Arabidopsis thaliana: one gene and its partner. The protein of the gene in region 1 purifies or fractionates together with the protein of each later gene. This does not show direct contact. Each region holds a gene or a part of one and is shown in the gene's direction. Other genes may lie near its edges.

What was found.
Region 2: the proteins of AS2 (region 1) and CLF purify together in Arabidopsis thaliana (affinity purification with western blotting, with the first as the bait; one study listed by BioGRID). This does not show direct contact.

What each region holds. Positions count from the first base shown.
Region 1 is NC_003070.9:24,394,735-24,402,430, forward strand, and holds AS2 (Lateral organ boundaries (LOB) domain family protein), read left to right. Parts: upstream 1-3,408; 5' UTR 3,409-3,779; exon of another isoform or gene 3,780-4,580; intron 4,581-4,583; exon of another isoform or gene 4,584-4,978; 5' UTR 4,979-5,095; intron 5,096-5,361; 5' UTR 5,362-5,411; coding exon 5,412-6,011; 3' UTR 6,012-6,252; downstream 6,253-7,696. Other genes in the region: KOR2 (Six-hairpin glycosidases superfamily protein), read right to left, coding at 131-527. UniProt on the Arabidopsis thaliana protein: Negative regulator of cell proliferation in the adaxial side of leaves. Regulates the formation of a symmetric lamina and the establishment of venation.
Region 2 is NC_003071.7:9,952,563-9,962,427, forward strand, and holds CLF (SET domain-containing protein), read left to right. Parts: upstream 1-2,529; 5' UTR 2,530-3,007; coding exon 3,008-3,070; intron 3,071-3,347; coding exon 3,348-3,440; intron 3,441-3,524; coding exon 3,525-3,826; intron 3,827-3,930; coding exon 3,931-4,092; intron 4,093-4,229; coding exon 4,230-4,314; intron 4,315-4,451; exon of another isoform or gene 4,452-4,485; coding exon of another isoform or gene 4,486-4,509; coding exon 4,510-4,644; intron 4,645-4,744; coding exon 4,745-4,792; intron 4,793-4,864; coding exon 4,865-4,936; intron 4,937-5,017; coding exon 5,018-5,718; intron 5,719-5,819; coding exon 5,820-5,970; intron 5,971-6,069; coding exon 6,070-6,293; intron 6,294-6,372; coding exon 6,373-6,504; intron 6,505-6,629; coding exon 6,630-6,720; intron 6,721-6,819; coding exon 6,820-6,867; intron 6,868-6,970; coding exon 6,971-7,099; intron 7,100-7,193; coding exon 7,194-7,271; intron 7,272-7,360; coding exon 7,361-7,555; 3' UTR 7,556-7,824; downstream 7,825-9,865. Other genes in the region: AT2G23360 (filament-like protein (DUF869)), read left to right, coding at 1-165; AT2G23370 (cyclin delta-3), read right to left, coding at 505-645, 731-841, 928-1,009, 1,117-1,211, 1,291-1,353, 1,434-1,601, 1,698-1,755, 1,833-1,875 and 3 more; AT2G23390 (acyl-CoA), read right to left, coding at 8,006-8,065, 8,158-8,328, 8,413-8,623, 8,790-8,842, 9,059-9,109, 9,319-9,385, 9,490-9,611, 9,860-9,865. UniProt on the Arabidopsis thaliana protein: Polycomb group (PcG) protein. Catalytic subunit of some PcG multiprotein complex, which methylates 'Lys-27' of histone H3, leading to transcriptional repression of the affected target genes, mainly abscisic acid (ABA) responsive elements.

The sequences.
Region 1 (7,696 bases):
CTTGTCATCTTTTTAAGTTTCTAGTTAAATATTTTAAAATTTAACTATCATCATTATACTATGCACAATGTAAATATATAAATAAGAAAAAATAGTCGGCAAAAAATAAAGAATAATAAGGAAGACTTACATTTTTGAGCATCGAAAAATTGAAGTGCTTTGTGAAGGGCAAGAGTGTAATTATCAGGCGGAGGAGGTGCAGACTTATGACGAGGCAACGACTTGACGATAATGATCGGAAGAGCAACGACGAGAAACAAGACGGCAATAGATCCAACGGTCCACAAGAAAACCGTGCGGCTCACGGAAACACAACCTAGGTTTACATATTTCTTCTTCTTCTTTCTCCAATTATCTTGCGGTGCAAGCAACCAGCCTTGTTGCGTTTCGTCTAATTCACTTCTCTGTGAGTGAATAGCTCCTCTGTCCCACTCCGTCGTGTTCCTCAGCCGTTCTTCCTCCTCTGCCGCAATACGGTCGCTGTCTACGGCGTCTAGCGACCCACCCCATACATTCCCGGGATGCATTTCGAAAGAGCTTGGATGATTAAGGTTTTTTTTGGAGAAGAAATATAGAAAGGATATAAAGAGTTCTTTTTTTCTATGGAAAAAATAAGAAGTCTACTTAATTTTGGTTAATGATCGGTGAGAGGGATTTTATTAAAGAGTGAGTTGACCAAAATTGGGTCTTAGGAAATGGGAACGATGTGTCTATATTGTATATTCTAGTAGAATTGTAATCGAATTTTTTTATATTTATTAGTTTGAAGACTTGTTTCAAATAATTTTAATGTTTTTTTTTGGCAACCAAACATTAATTAAAAAGCAAATAATTTTAGTTTATTGATTTTTTTTTTTGCAATAAGCCTACATCAGATTTTAATTTGAATCGAATATAACTATATGTCCTATGTATTTTTTTGGGGCCTAAAAGAAAAAAATATCAATGTTTTGGTAAATGACATGGTTATAGCTTGGTTTCTACGTTCAACAAAACTCGGGCTACTTGTTGTATACCTTGACAAGATTCTACTAAATCTTTTTTCAGACTTCCAGTCAAGTCTTCTAGGGTTCTTAAGTCGGGTTTTTATTTCGGGTTCTGATTGTCTGATTCTAAAGTCTCTTTAGAGTTTGTCATTTGTTTTTGTTGGTGTGATTGACGTCCTCATTCCTAAGTCCGAACACTATGACTCTGATATGTTATTGACAGAGACAGAGAGTGATAATATAGTTTCTGATAGGGAGGATTTGATAAAACAGAGTGATTACATAATGTTTGTGTTGATCCTTCTTAGTTCTTACCGTCTATAGTTTCCCTATTTTTTTAACACGAAATTTCATAGTTTGTGTAACTTGCGGCAGAAAATATAGATAGCTCACATAGCTATGATCTAAATATGAGCATTCGTGTATATGATTTTATGGTAGCTAGCGTTGTTGACAGGCTGCGGTAAATTGGTCTTCGCTAGATGTTGTGAAGCGTATGGAAAATACTATAATGAGCTAATATCTATTGGGCTTTCATTTAGCTTTCGCTATTTATTAATTGGGCTTGGGCCACCCTTCACAAACTGTTTATTTTGTTCCAAGGATTTTTCAGTTGAGAGATTATGTAAGCAAATTTTGTTTTCTTCACGTAACAGAAATTCGATCTAACTTATGTCGAGATGAATTGCTAAAAGAACCATTATCCCAAGTAAAATGTATTAGAAACCTCATACTTGAATGAGGAACCCTAAAATATGTATAGAGGATTGTGATAATGTACTCACTATCAATATAGTCAGTTATAAGTTAGAATTCTGTTAAAAGTGTTAAAATAATGTTTTGTTTCAAATACTTAGTTTATCAAATAAACTTTTTTAATCTTTTTATGTCACCATGAGTTATCTGAATAAAGATGTTTATATATCCGCAAGACTAGTCAAAAGTGGATAGCTCCATTAACTGTTATAGTGTAACTATTCTAGTGTAACAATTCTTAGAAGTATTTGGTTTTACTATTTTAGTCTTACTTTCTATACTTGATTGTTCAGGTAACATTTTCAAAATTGGAGATGATTTTACTTAATCGTAAACTTATTACTTATATACTAAAAAGCTTGTAAGTAGGGCCCGAAATGTGGAAAACATTGTAATTTAAATCCAAACTAGTTTTAGAAGAAGACGCAATGTATATATAATAATGGAAAAATATGAAAACGATATCAGCCAAACATACTTATTATGAATATTAATTGGAGAGAAGGAGTGTAACCATCCATATGGTGTGAATTCTATGATTTTTGGACCCATTGTTATAAACGAAGGAAGAAGACAAAGAACATGAAGACATGAATAGTTTTATTTCAAAAGTAATGAATAAATATATAAATAAAAGGAATGGTTGTCGTTTGAAAATGGGTACGAGTAAATAGTGTTGCAGACTCTGCTCCAACAGTAATTACAACAATGCAATATGCAACCACGACCCACTTGCTTCTATTCATTTCCCATTCTTGTTCTCTCTCCAAATTGACTAATGTTTTAAATGTTATATGATCATGATAACCATTCTTTTTTCTCTTTGCACGCTTCTTCGTTAGGTTAGGTCGTACGTAAAAAGTGATGACCTAATCGTAGAGACCAACTAAATTTCGGTTCTGATTACTTAATCGAGTGTTTAAATTTGCTTAACTTGACATTTGTTACCAAGAAAGGAGAACTAGTAGTGAAAAAAGAGAGTTTAAAACCTTGACAATCGCTTAACCCAAAGTTTTAGAATATTTCTGCTAGTACATAAGGTAAATGTACACATTTATTGTAGTTGTTGTATTGGTTGAATTTGGCTCTGTTGGTTGAGGTTTCAGATTCATAAAAAAAAGTACTGTAGTTACTAGTAAAAATGAACTTGAATTATGGTTGTATTGTTGTTATACAAAAATGGCACACTTTATGAAACCAACTAAAAACAAGTATCCATTTCTGATAATAACATTTTCGAGGATTTTTAAGATATACAACAAAATGCAGAACTATATACAAAGTCTTGTGTCTTGAGAATGTAACTTCAATTATTAACACCAAAATGTCTAAAAACCTAAAGCATCTAAGAAACGGTGCCACTGTCTCTAACCCCTTTCTCAACAGTTCGATACAAAACTTCCATTAATGTTTTTCTATTCCCTTCACATTTGGAAATTCAAACTAAAAATGCATAAACAAAAAATACTATAACCTCATCTTAAAAATTACTAATGTCCCAGTAACATTAATCTCATAGGGTTACTAATCATGGGTTATCTTTTAAACTCCAAAAACAAAGTAGGTATCATTATATAAACAAGTTTCATGGTATATCTCCTAATTTTCCCGTAGAGGAAAGTATGAAGATATATATAGAGAAGAAAGACAGAGTCCGTGATCACTCACTCTCTCTCTATCTCTATATATCGACACACCATAAAAGTTGTTCTTTCTCTCCGTTTCCTTAGCCTCTGCATCTGGGCGATTTTCTCTTTCTATCTCCCTACACCTTAGGGAGTACTGATCCTAAACTCATCATCTTTCTATGCCTTCCTCTTTTCTTTCACTTATTTTCTTTTCTATTTTTTTTCTTTCTTACTTTGCGTAAAACTAGCGAGTCAAAAATAAAGACACTTGCATGATCCTAATATAATATTATATATTGTAATTAGAGAAAGAGAGAGAAGAGAAGAAAGAAAGTGGCAGTAGATTCTTATGGATTTTGGTATAAAGAAACATGAAAAAATGGGTTTGACCGAAGAAACTTTGAGGACGGTAACTTCATTATCAACTTTTCGACTGTATTTATATTTTAGCTTTTGTCAAACCGTATCATATAATATTAATGCGAATTACTAGTAGAGAGTATAATAATAGTAATAACAAAATGCTTGGTTACTGTATGTAAATCCCTAGACAAAAAGAATAAGAATAAAAAGAGCAAAATTCTTCATCCCAAGATCCATCAGGAGAGTCAGAGTCAGACCCCATCTCTCATTTCCCATCTCTCCTTTTCACATTTATTTCCTTTTTTTTCTTTCTAGATACTTTTTTATTTTGAAATTTAATACTAATAACTATACATTTATTGTTATTATTGTTGTTAGAGTCTATGCTAGGGTCCAAGGGTTCATCCCAATATCCCTTCTTCTCCTTAGAAACTCGCAACTTCTTCACATGGAAATCAATTCCCTCTAGTACCAAATCCTATTACTATTGAAGGTATACTCTATAGTTATTTATTTAGTTAAGTATATATATTAAAAATAAATAACATTAATTAGTACTAGTCTTATCATATTTATTAGCTCATTTTCTTATAAAATACTAATATAATAGGAAATTTAAGCACAAGATGAGCTTTGCCCATCGAGAGCCTCAAAACCCAAAAGTCTCTTCTTCTTCACGAGATCCAATCTTTTGCTTTTTAGTAATTAATTACATCTTCTTCCTTCTCTTCTCTCTTCTTCTTCCCTCTCTCATACCTACCTATAAGCAACACAAAGAACACCATTGATCCCATCTGTTTTGTTCCCTATATTTCGTTAATCCATCCATACGCATTCCAACTACACGGTACAAATTTCCATCTCTTTTTAATTTGTTTTTATAATGATTTTAAATCTCTCAGGTTGTCTCTAGACTCTTAGGTCTAGTTACCAAAATTTGACTAGCAATCATATAGCTACAAGTTCCTCTATATCATATAGCTACACATATCTCTAGGTCTGAAATGATCTTTTATCTCCCAAGCATATATTATATATTTGGATGCATACCTTTATGTTTGACTTTCGAAAAGCACCTTCATGTTACTCATTTTTTCCTCTATTTGCTTTCAACAGTTGACAAGAAGGTTGGATCAGTATATATAAGTATACATATACACTTATGTGTGTGTGTAGTGTATGTGCATATATAGCTCACCAAATATCTTTAATACTACTAATTGCAAAGTTTCTCTTATTTTACAGCTTTTTGTATGCAACCCCAAATAGCAGCTTAAAGAAAGCAGAGAGGATCTTCTTTTATTTCCCCTCTGAGCAACAGAAGCCATTATTCAAAGAAAGGCTTCTTTAATTTACTCGCAGGTAAAAGCTTTCTTATTCTATAGAGATTGAACAACTTTTTTTTTTTTTTAATTGACAACAATAAAGATTGAGCAACTTCTCTACATTATTTCTTTCTTTATTTTCTCACTTAATTTCATATTTGATTACAAAAACAGATAATGTAATATCTCCAAAATCACAATTGATTTCATAATATCTTTTTTTGTTTCCTTATACCTTCTACCTCCAAAAACTAAATTCAAAAACCCTTATTTCTCTCAATTTTCAATGGCGGCTTTGTGTAGGGAGAGGGAAAAGAGAAAAAATTGAAAAACTCCATTTTCAAGTCATTAAAATGGCATCTTCTTCAACAAACTCACCATGCGCCGCTTGCAAATTCCTCCGGCGAAAATGTCAACCGGAATGTGTATTCGCGCCCTATTTCCCACCGGACCAGCCACAAAAATTCGCAAACGTTCACAAAGTGTTTGGAGCAAGTAACGTGACAAAGCTCCTCAACGAGCTTCACCCTTCACAACGTGAAGACGCAGTGAACTCTTTGGCCTATGAAGCCGACATGCGCCTCCGTGACCCTGTCTACGGCTGCGTCGGCGTCATCTCTCTCCTCCAACATCAGCTTCGTCAGCTTCAGATAGATCTCAGCTGTGCTAAATCTGAGCTCTCTAAGTACCAAAGCCTCGGTATCCTCGCCGCCACTCATCAGAGTCTTGGCATCAACTTACTCGCCGGAGCAGCAGATGGAACAGCCACCGCCGTGAGAGACCACTATCACCACCACCAGTTTTTTCCTAGAGAACAAATGTTTGGTGGCTTGGATGTTCCGGCCGGTAACAACTACGACGGTGGGATTCTTGCCATTGGACAGATCACTCAGTTTCAGCAGCCGAGAGCCGCCGCTGGAGATGATGGTCGCCGTACTGTTGATCCGTCTTGAGATTTTAGGGTTTTGGTGGTGTTCATCTTCGTCGATCGCTTGGTGATGAGAAAACTATAATTTTAAGAAAATATTTGATGTGGAAAACCAAAATATTTTAAACGTATGGTACGTCTCTCTTAATGACATTAATTTCGGTTTTTATTATTATTATTACTTAGATATATTATGATAGTCACTTTTGTATTTCTTTCAAATTTTATGGACTTGCTCTCTTAATTGATATCACATACTTGCATTATAGAGTATATTATTTCCAAATATGTCGAGTCTATTGATCCGCATATGTACCTCCAGCAAGAATATAGACCTAAATTCAGTTAATCATTGAGTGATTTTAATGGTTAATGTTAGACTTCTTAAGTATTTAAAAAACATTATTAGTAAAAATTATGAATATGAAATATAGTGTATACCATGTAGATAAATGTATTATAGTGTTTTCCTTTTATTTTTTTTGTAGTTCAAATTTTAAAATTAAATAATAAAGGAAAACTATTAAAAACATTTAAAATTGACATATTTATATAAATGATATTTGCAAGAAAAGAGGTTTGATGTGGAACACTGTCAGCGTCAAGGATAAGATTTGATGTAAGAAGAGGCTTAACGGAATATAACATGAACATGAAACATCTTATCTCCGGGCGAATTATACCCACTAGCTCTTTCTAGGCTTTCTCTCTAATTAAAAAGTCTCCTTCATCTATTTATGATGACTCTATTTATTGTTGTTGTAAATACTAATTGTCACATCAACTAATTTAGTTTTTTTTGATAAAGTTACTAGTTCCTTATTTTACTATTTGGGTATAGTAATATGCAAAATCTCAATTAAATTACTGGTGCTATTACTCTATATGCAAGTTGAAAATTCACAGAAAAAGTTAGTGATATAGAGGGCGCCTTTCACAAAACCTACAAACATATATTAGTGAAAAGAATTTTAATAAACAGATATGATCAGTTATTTTCAAAAACTAAAAAATTACAAAAAAAAATTACAAAGACCTCTGAATATATACCCATCAACGAAGATTTTCAGAAGATAAAACTAAATTAGTATCTTGTAAATACAAAAAATAATAATTTTCAGCATACTTTGTAAAATACTAGCTATGATTGGTAACATTTCGTAATCCCCCAGATGCTATAAATAAAACTAACTTATGTGGTGGGATGAAACTTTGTGAGTTAAACGTTTCTTAATGAATTATGGAAAATGAACTAATAAGCTGATTGAAATCAAAGTAAAAACCTTGTTTAAAGATAGTTTCTTTCTTTTTCTCTGATTGCTTTAAAAAGAAGGAAACTTGTTTAGTTAAAGACGCGTTTTTTTTTCTTCGTCTTGCGTTTCACAATGCAACTGTATCTAGTCAATTCAATTGCATTATTATTGTCAACTAGTCAATCGCATTTAAGATACATAACAATGATGATTATAGTATCTATATTTACACTTTTATTGATTTATTCATTAATTAAAGATATTTAATGACAAGTATCGACACAATTCCCAGTGTTGACCAAAATCCCCCAAATTTTCAGAGTACTTTTGAAGAAACCCTAAAGTAAAGGATTGTCAATATGGTTTGCTCGCTTTGCATCTGTCGCCCGCACGGTTGCATCATCTATTTTCTTTTTACTTTATTACACCATAAATAAATGTAATAAAATTAACCTTT
Region 2 (9,865 bases), on another chromosome or scaffold:
CTAGAACAGATTCTTCTCTCAGACAAAAGCAAAGGCTCCGACTCAAACTGCTTTGCCATTGTTCCTCAGAAAAAGACCGGCGGAGTTAAGAGCCTCTGGAGAAAGCTGTTGGGGAGAAATAAGAAAGGTAAGAGCAAGAAGGTCCCTAATCCATTTGCCAACTAAGAAGATGGTGGCATCTGTCATCTAGACTATAATCTAATACCTTAATCCTGTTTCTTTATATGGTCCCAAAGACCCAAACTATGCAAACTAAACTGTCATTTTCTAGATTTTTTTGGCAGTATATATATAATCTCCACGTAGAGTATTACTCTATAAGATGATCATTCTGCTTTATTCCACTTTTAGTCTCAGAAAGGATACAATCAGTAATCTTGACCCAATGAATCTTTAGCAGGGTTAATGTAAATCTTCAACGTAGACACTAAATGCATAAGATCATTTGATATAATGTCATCTCAGGTCTCAAAAGAACAAATTGTGGCCTTTAAAAGAGACTTCTCAATCTCTGTACAGAACAAACTTGGCGATGTCGTTAAGTCCAGCTTCCTTGTAGCACTGAGCAACCCGTTCCAGTGATTCGTCCCATGTCCCTTCAAGTGACGCTAGATTCAGTAAGAACGCAGCCTCGTCCAAAGATGCCTGAGAATTACAAGTTTTGTTTCAAGCCTTTGTATCCATAAGCATGATATGAGTATCTGATAATGAATACAGGCAAAGAACAAACCTGAGCCATTGGCTTTCCCCTGTCTATATCCCGTTGTTTTCCTTCTCCTGTAACTCTCTCCTTATACTGCGCAATTTGCTCTTCTCCCCACTCTGCTATTTGAGCAATTTCCTGGGAACCCGTTTCATATGTTCAACACTTTTTTCCCTTCTCTTTTCGATTACCAAAATTGCTTGTCGATAGTCAAGGAATTGTACCTCATATCTGCATCCTAAGGTCCACCACGAAGATTTCAAAGCACCCCTAGCTGCGTCTTTCGCTTCTAAGTTACGCCCAAGTCTACAAAATATATAGAGGTCTTAGAGTTTTCTAGAAAGGACGTAAGCATTTACCTGGGGGTCGTTCACAAGGGAGAAAGAGGGATGATGAGAAAGGATCATACGAACTTCAGTAAAACTTTTGCGTTGAAAGCGAATGGCCGGGCAAATCCGGGAAAGTTCCCTCTCTTTGTATAAAACTCGGTAGCCACCAAAGCTGAAACCTTGTATTAGCACGTGAAGATAGTTTAAAAAGAGAAAACACGTCAACTACAACAGGATAGATATAATTACTAGCCTTACATGGTCTCCATTCTCGATATGCCGAATAACTTTTCGTTCAAGAGAATCTGGAAACAATCCAACCTGAATTACAAAGCTAATAATCATATCCCAGTATCCATGTGCAGAAAAGATTCTGATATTAACAGGCTCAATATATGTACCTTTCTTAAAAGATAGGCATCTAAATCCATCAGTCTTGAACTGGCAAAGTCACCCTTACTGTAAAGTTTCTTCCCAGCTTCACCAGCAGCATTGAAGATTTCTTGGCTGCATTCTTCGGGTTTGGAAACATCTTCTTCCACCAATATTCTGTGAATGAACTGATCAACCTGAATGTTGGCCAATGAAGTCAGATATGAGAATGAACACTCAACAAAAATAACCCTAAATTAACGCATCAGTAATGCTATAAAAAGACTCATTACATTATTAGCTAGAAACCAAACCCCATGTTTCTGAACTTCCACCACAGGCATCTCCATACTGCAAACACCACAAACAATGATAAGCTACAAAAGAAGAGAAACATGACGATATTAAAAAAGCAAGGAGGATCTAACCTAGAAGGAGCTGTTGGCCACCGTAATAGAGCAATTGAAGAACCTGAAAAAGGAAAGTCATACAAACTTAATATGAAAGTGTTACAACCTCAGATAAGAACTTATGTACAAGTCCAGAATCATACCCGGGCTCATTTTCACCAACGGAATAGTAAGAGGTAACAAGCCTTGCTTGGCACCAGGAGAAACTATGGATTTACCTGATCCAATGTCATTACCACAAGCAAAAGTCACCATTCCGCAAGTTAACAAACAAAAACTTCGAAAATACGATCAGCAAGTCAGTGTAAGATTGATTTACCTCTAGCTGTGAATATATTCAGCAGCTGCATCAGATGCTTAGGAGGCTGAGCTTTTGCTATATCCTTAATGAAACATTCATGTTCTGCACATAATCAATCGTTAACTTCGATTCACTGATTGTTCAAATTCGGCACCGTAAGAATCATAAACCAATCTCAAGCCATCGCACAGCTTCCAGAAGTTGCAAATGAAATAGCGAAGATGTGAATCCCTCTCACCAGATAGTGAAGAAGAAGAGCAAAAGGATCTGGCGAAGTTTCTGCTGCCATGGAGAAGTATCAGTCTACGTTTCCGTCCGAAAACCGCCGCGCCGCGATGCATCTCAGAGTTTTCCGATCGCCGTACTGTTTCTCGTCCGATGAGATTACAGAGAGACTTCGAAAAGCTGTTGCTGAAAAAAAAAACAAAAAATAAAGCCCAAACAAATAGGGTTTAAGAGCCCATTAAATCAGAGCCCAGCAACGTTCGTGTTTGTTTTGTTCAGTTGATATAGAACCAGTCTCGAACTCTAGTAGATTCGTTGTCTCGAGCTACGTGATATTCCGGTAAACCGTCGCCGGAGATGTACAGTAGATAATTCAAATCGAGCTGCCACGTCGCTATTTTCCCACCAACTTTTTTTTTTTTAAATAATTGGAAAAAGTTTCTAATTTACACGCTTCCCAATTCGTAAACAATGTTCTTTAAAAGTAAAACGAAATTTTTTTTGGATTTGAAGATAAAAGATCCAAAATAAAAACAAAATTGAAGATAAATTTTTAGGGTTTATAACGACCCGCCAAATTCCTTCTCTCCTCCAACATTTCAGATTTCGCGACCCGGATCTTAACCCGGACCCGCATTTGTTTCGGTTCCGATCTGGTTTCTTGACAATGGCGTCAGAAGCTTCGCCTTCTTCTTCGGCCACCAGATCGGAGCCACCCAAAGACTCTCCGGTGCGTCAATCGTTTTTTTTTTTTTTCTTACTTTCTAAAAATGGAACTTTTTTCTTTGTGCTATTGAGGCATTGACTTTGATTTGCTTTAGTTTGAGTGAAGAGAACGAAACTCGATGGCTTGTTTGAGCTTCTCTATATGCTCGTTTTTAGATCTAGAGATTGCTGGATTGTGAGATATGAAGTTGTTTTTGGGTTCGTTTAGGAACCATTTTTGCTGCAATTGATAGTTTCTCTCATTGAACACTGTGTAAAGGAACCTCATTTTGATGTTTCAGGCGGAGGAGAGAGGTCCAGCTTCTAAGGAAGTATCAGAAGTAATAGAATCGCTAAAGAAGAAGCTTGCAGCTGATAGGTGTATATCAATAAAGGTTGCTATTTTTGTTTAGTTTTTTTTTTGTATGTTTTATGTGTTTCTGAATCTGATTGTTAGAAATTGATGTGTTTGTAACCAGAAAAGGATTGATGAAAACAAGAAGAATTTGTTTGCTATTACTCAAAGTTTTATGAGGTCTTCTATGGAACGAGGAGGTAGCTGTAAAGATGGCAGTGATCTTTTAGTTAAGAGGCAAAGAGATTCGCCAGGTATGAAAAGCGGAATCGATGAAAGTAATAACAACAGATATGTAGAAGATGGACCTGCCAGTTCAGGAATGGTTCAAGGATCTAGTGTCCCTGTCAAAATTTCCTTACGTCCTATCAAAATGCCTGATATCAAACGTTTGTCACCTTATACCACATGGGTTTTTCTGGACAGGTATGTTGACATTAATGTCGCAAGAGTACTTGAAAATATTCAAGTTGAAATGTAAGCCCCTCGCATAGTATCTTAACGTTATAATCACTCTTGAAATGATGCAGAAATCAAAGAATGACTGAAGACCAGTCTGTAGTGGGTCGAAGGAGAATTTATTATGATCAAACTGGCGGGGAAGCGCTTATCTGCAGTGATAGTGAAGAGGAGGCCATTGACGACGAAGAAGAAAAAAGAGATTTTTTGGAGCCTGAAGATTATATTATTCGGTTAGTATTAAATGGCAGGAGTTTAATCATTCTTGCATTTTGGTCTCTTAGTGTGAATCTCTTGTCTGCTATGTCAACTGTTATGCTGGTTTGTTCTCACTTATATTGTTGGATTAAATTTCCCTTCGTTTCTTCAGCATGACCCTTGAGCAACTAGGTCTTTCAGACTCAGTCCTGGCGGAACTAGCAAGTTTCTTGTCTAGAAGTACTAGTGAAATCAAGGTATCAACAACTTTTTTCTCTGCCTATTGCTTGTGTGAACTATCATGTGCTATTTTCTTTAGAATCAAGCACTTCAGTTGTAGGATTTCAAAACAGAGTGAGGGATGCATTGTTTAAGGAAATCCAATTAGTATTGTTCCAGCCCTTTCCCAATTGGCTTTTTGCAGAGATATGAACACCGACCATCTTATACAGGCAAGACATGGAGTGCTTATGAAGGAAAAAGAAGTATCCGAGAGTGGCGATAATCAAGCAGAGAGCTCCCTTCTCAACAAAGATATGGAAGGAGCATTAGATTCTTTCGATAACCTGTTCTGCCGTAGATGCCTTGTTAGTCCATTTGATTTTCTCAGGCTAATGTTTCATGGGTTATTGCTTAATGATCGAGCAAACATTGGTCTCTTTTTAACTTTTGTATGCATCTATGCAGGTATTTGATTGCCGGCTTCATGGGTGTTCACAGGATCTCATTTTTCCGGTGAGTTTAGTGCCAACCGAAAAAATCTTACTATAACTTTAGTGTTACTTATCTAATTTTATGGATTTTTAGGCTGAGAAACCAGCTCCATGGTGTCCTCCTGTAGATGAAAATTTAACCTGTGGTGCAAACTGCTATAAAACGGTAAATTTGTTATTTTCTCGTTGCTAAGCTCATCTCCTAGAAAGACTGGTTTAACAAAAAGCGTTGTTTTCAATTTATCAGCTTCTCAAGTCTGGAAGATTTCCGGGATATGGCACCATTGAAGGTAAAACTGGCACTTCATCAGATGGTGCAGGTACTAAAACCACACCCACGAAGTTCTCCAGCAAACTTAATGGGAGAAAACCAAAGACCTTCCCAAGTGAAAGTGCATCGTCTAATGAAAAGTGCGCACTAGAAACAAGTGACTCAGAGAATGGACTACAGCAGGATACCAATTCCGATAAAGTTTCATCATCGCCAAAGGTGAAAGGTAGTGGGAGACGAGTAGGTCGTAAGAGGAACAAAAACCGAGTTGCTGAGCGAGTTCCTCGTAAGACTCAGAAGAGGCAGAAGAAGACAGAAGCCTCGGATAGTGATTCCATCGCCAGTGGAAGTTGTTCACCCAGCGATGCAAAACATAAAGATAATGAAGATGCTACTTCCTCTTCTCAGAAGCATGTAAAATCTGGGAACTCCGGGAAGTCAAGGAAGAATGGCACTCCTGCCGAAGTCTCCAATAATTCTGTGAAGGATGACGTTCCTGTTTGCCAGTCAAATGAGGTTGCGTCAGAGCTTGATGCGCCGGGTAGTGATGAAAGTCTAAGGAAAGAAGAGTTTATGGGTGAAACTGTATCTCGAGGAAGATTGGCTACAAATAAGTTGTGGAGACCACTTGAGAAAAGCCTTTTTGATAAAGGTGTTGAGATTTTTGGAATGAATAGGTGGGTAATTTTGATGTATTTAGCTACTGCTAAATTATCATTCTGCTTCAGGTTTTTCAATTTGTGGAATATAGTCATATGGATTCTTTGTTTCTTTGCAGCTGCTTGATTGCTAGAAATCTTTTGAGTGGTTTCAAATCATGTTGGGAGGTCTTCCAATACATGACGTGCTCGGAAAATAAAGCTTCCTTCTTTGGAGGTGATGGATTGAATCCTGATGGCTCTTCCAAGTTCGATATCAATGGAAATATGGTATATTAACACTAAACCTTTTTGACTTTGTTTACAAATTCCTGATAAAATCGATTTATTTCTCTTCGGATTTAATGCTTTAGTTTCTGGACTAACCAGGTTAATAACCAAGTGAGGAGAAGGTCAAGATTTCTACGTAGGAGAGGCAAAGTGCGGCGCTTGAAGTATACCTGGAAGTCTGCTGCATATCATTCAATTAGGAAAAGAATTACTGAGAAGAAAGACCAGCCCTGCCGTCAGTTTAATCCATGTAACTGCAAAATTGCTTGTGGGAAGGAATGTCCTTGTTTGCTAAACGGGACTTGCTGCGAGAAGTACTGCGGGTAATGTAATCTATGATTATCCACATCTGTATTTCTTAGCTTTGAATCTCATTACCAACAAACTATATTTTCTGTGTAGTTGCCCAAAGAGCTGCAAGAATAGGTTTAGAGGTTGTCATTGTGCCAAAAGTCAGTGTCGAAGCCGCCAGTGTCCATGCTTTGCTGCAGATCGGGAATGTGACCCAGATGTTTGTAGAAACTGCTGGGTCATGTAAGTCTTATTGGGGATGCAAATCCATCCTAATTGGTTTCTTAGAAAATGCTCAAGAAATGCAACTTTTTTTTTAGTAGTTCCAGATGCACTTATACTGTGTCTGAATGAATTTGAATGTGTAGTGGTGGGGATGGTTCGCTTGGGGTCCCAAGCCAAAGAGGCGATAATTATGAGTGCAGGAATATGAAATTGCTCCTGAAACAACAACAAAGGGTAAATACTTAGCCTTGTTAACTAAATATCTATGATCTGCAATCAAATGATTAAACATGAAATGGCTAAATTTCCTCCTCTTTTTTATGTTAATTTCAGGTTTTACTTGGAATATCTGATGTTTCTGGTTGGGGAGCTTTCTTAAAGGTATATTAGGTTCAAAATTTGTTAAACTGATAAGTCCTTCAAAGATTAATCTATGTTTAGAGTATGAACTTGCCTTAAGAACAATTATTTTTCCTTCTTACAGAACAGTGTAAGTAAGCATGAATACCTTGGGGAATACACAGGAGAGCTGATCTCACATAAAGAGGCAGATAAACGCGGGAAGATATACGATCGCGAGAACTGCTCTTTTCTCTTCAATCTAAACGATCAGGCACGTCTCAGCAGCTTTGAAATGTCCCAACTCTCTTTCTCTCTAGTCTCTAGGTTGTCTTCAAATTTTAAAATGTTTTTGGATTGTGCTGCAGTTTGTGCTAGATGCTTACAGGAAAGGAGATAAACTGAAATTCGCCAACCATTCTCCTGAACCTAACTGTTACGCAAAGGTAAAAATGTGAAAAGTGCAAGTTAAAGATACGGTTTTCGCATGATGGGTATGTTCTGTTTTTCCTCAAAATCTTTGTATCTGTTCAAGGTCATCATGGTTGCTGGAGATCACAGGGTGGGGATCTTCGCAAAAGAGAGGATACTGGCTGGAGAAGAACTATTTTACGATTACCGGTATGAGCCAGATCGAGCTCCAGCTTGGGCCAAAAAACCTGAAGCTCCTGGTTCTAAGAAAGACGAAAATGTTACACCTTCTGTTGGTAGACCCAAGAAGCTTGCTTAGCAACAAAAGAAACAACCATTTTTTTGTCAATTCTTTGGTTACAGGTGGAAGAACGCTTTAATCCTCATTACTCTCCACACGGAAGAACACATTGAAACAAATTCATACATTTTGCTGAGTCTAAAGAAAAATTGTATTCGTTGGATTAAAATTTCCTTTTTTCGTTTTACATTTCTGGATTATCATTTTATTGTACTGAGACTCGGGTTAAAGTTTTTAAATTACAGATGAGAAACTTGGTGAGCTTTGGAGCTGACATCAATGTGGTATTCCTCACACATCACAATCTATATAAATTAAATTAGGCGTCAGTGTACATTTGGTGATCAGAAAGTAACAAAACCAAATCAGAAAACGAACATGAGCAGCCAAATTAAAATGTACATTGACGCATAAACCTAAGAATTAAGATATACAAGAATGTTTGCGATAACCAAGATATAAATGCATCTATTCTATTTTCTCTTTGAAGGGTCCATCTTCATGCATCAGTCTGATGACATAATCCATCTGCGATGCACAAAGTTACATTGTTTAAGTCGATGATCCAATTACATAGCTATGTTTATATACTCTTTTAACACCATAACTTCAAAACATACCTGATTTGATTCGCGCACTAAAAACTCGTCTATGGCTTGCCTGAAACCTTCATCGAATATGTAATGGCAACTATATGTTTTAACGGGAAGGTAGCCTCGCTGAATCTTATGCTCACCCTGCGCTCCAGCTTCTACCGTTTTCAGATTAAGCTCTATCGCTGCTTCAATTGCCTATGAATCCCATTATCAGTTTGTGAGTTTTAATCAAGTATGTCTCGGCGAAAACTCTTGAGACTTTGAAACAACAAGACCAACCTGGTAATAGCATGCTTCAAAATGGAGACTAGGATAATAGGAGTCGGGACGACATCCCCATAGTCTCCCAAATAGAGTATCTCCTCCAATGAGATTCAATGCTCCTGCAACAGGTTCCTCGTTTTCTTCAGCTAAAACAAGCAATACCTTGTCTCCCAACTTCGATGCCATGTCGTGAAAGAAATCCCTTGTGAGATAAGGTGTGCCCCATCTAAAATTAGCCGGAAATCGTTAAGCATGTGAAAGGACAAACACAGGTAATGCATACACTTGACGATGACAGGTAATTGAATGTAAGTATGTTTATTATGCACAAAGACACATAATGTGTACTAATGATAAGAAAAACAAAAATGTCTCAAAGATAAAGACTAAACTTGTTATCAGTTGTGTTCCTGTAGAAATCATAGAAGGAATCCCAGTGCCTAGCCTGCAAAAACATTAGGCACAAACGATGAATCAAATTTTTAAGACACATATTAATATAAAAGCCCCATAATGTCCTTTATAGCATGTGCCATCAGTTCTAACCTCTGGTAGCAGATTGATATCCCATGGTTGATTATTTATAGCCATTAAAATGAAAAGATACCGCCAGGCATAATCAATTACAACAAATTCGTCTCGTGGCAGTTCAGTTACATACCTTTATATCATCTCCTTGTAGCCGTCTCATTTTCAAATTCTGGGTACCAATCTACTAGAGAAAAGGAGCATTAGAAGTCAGCAGCGTGCTTGAAAAACGCCACAAGGAACGGATAACGAAATAAGGCCACAATTCAAAAGTTGTATGGGAAGAAAAAAAGAGTAACCATTCCATTTTACTATTCACATGAGCAAAGAAACTTAAGAGACAAGAATAAATTGCACAATGAGGATGATATGAAAAGAGGAAACTAAACAAACCTTTTTGCGTTCCTGTCGGATATTTTTCCTTTTGCTTTGCTTCATGTCCATCAAGAACTCGTCAAAACTGAAGTATTAGAGATAAAAAAAAAAATGAACAAAATATAATAGCAACTACTTCCAATCCAGTCATTGTTAAGAACTAATATACTGGCAACTAACTTCAATTACTTTTTATAATCACGATTTTTCCAGTGGTACTGCATTCCAATCCTTTGTGAGAAGCCTTTCTCTTTCAATTTGTCCCACTCAGCTCCAGACGGAAATGTAATGTGCAAAGATGAAACTTGTAACTGCCAAAGCCCACAGAATACAACTAGTCTGTCAGCAGTCAGCAGATAGCATATGTTGAAAGCAGAACTCAACACAAGAGAACCATTACAGCTTCAAGAAAGTAAAATGTGAGATTGTTCCTATAGTAATAAGGATAGCTAATAAATAGTAGAACCTTAGTTCTGTATACCATGAGATCACAAGTTTAATCCTGTTCCAAGTCTTGTTTTTATCTATAACACAGATAGATTTCATATAGAGATCATACCTTTGA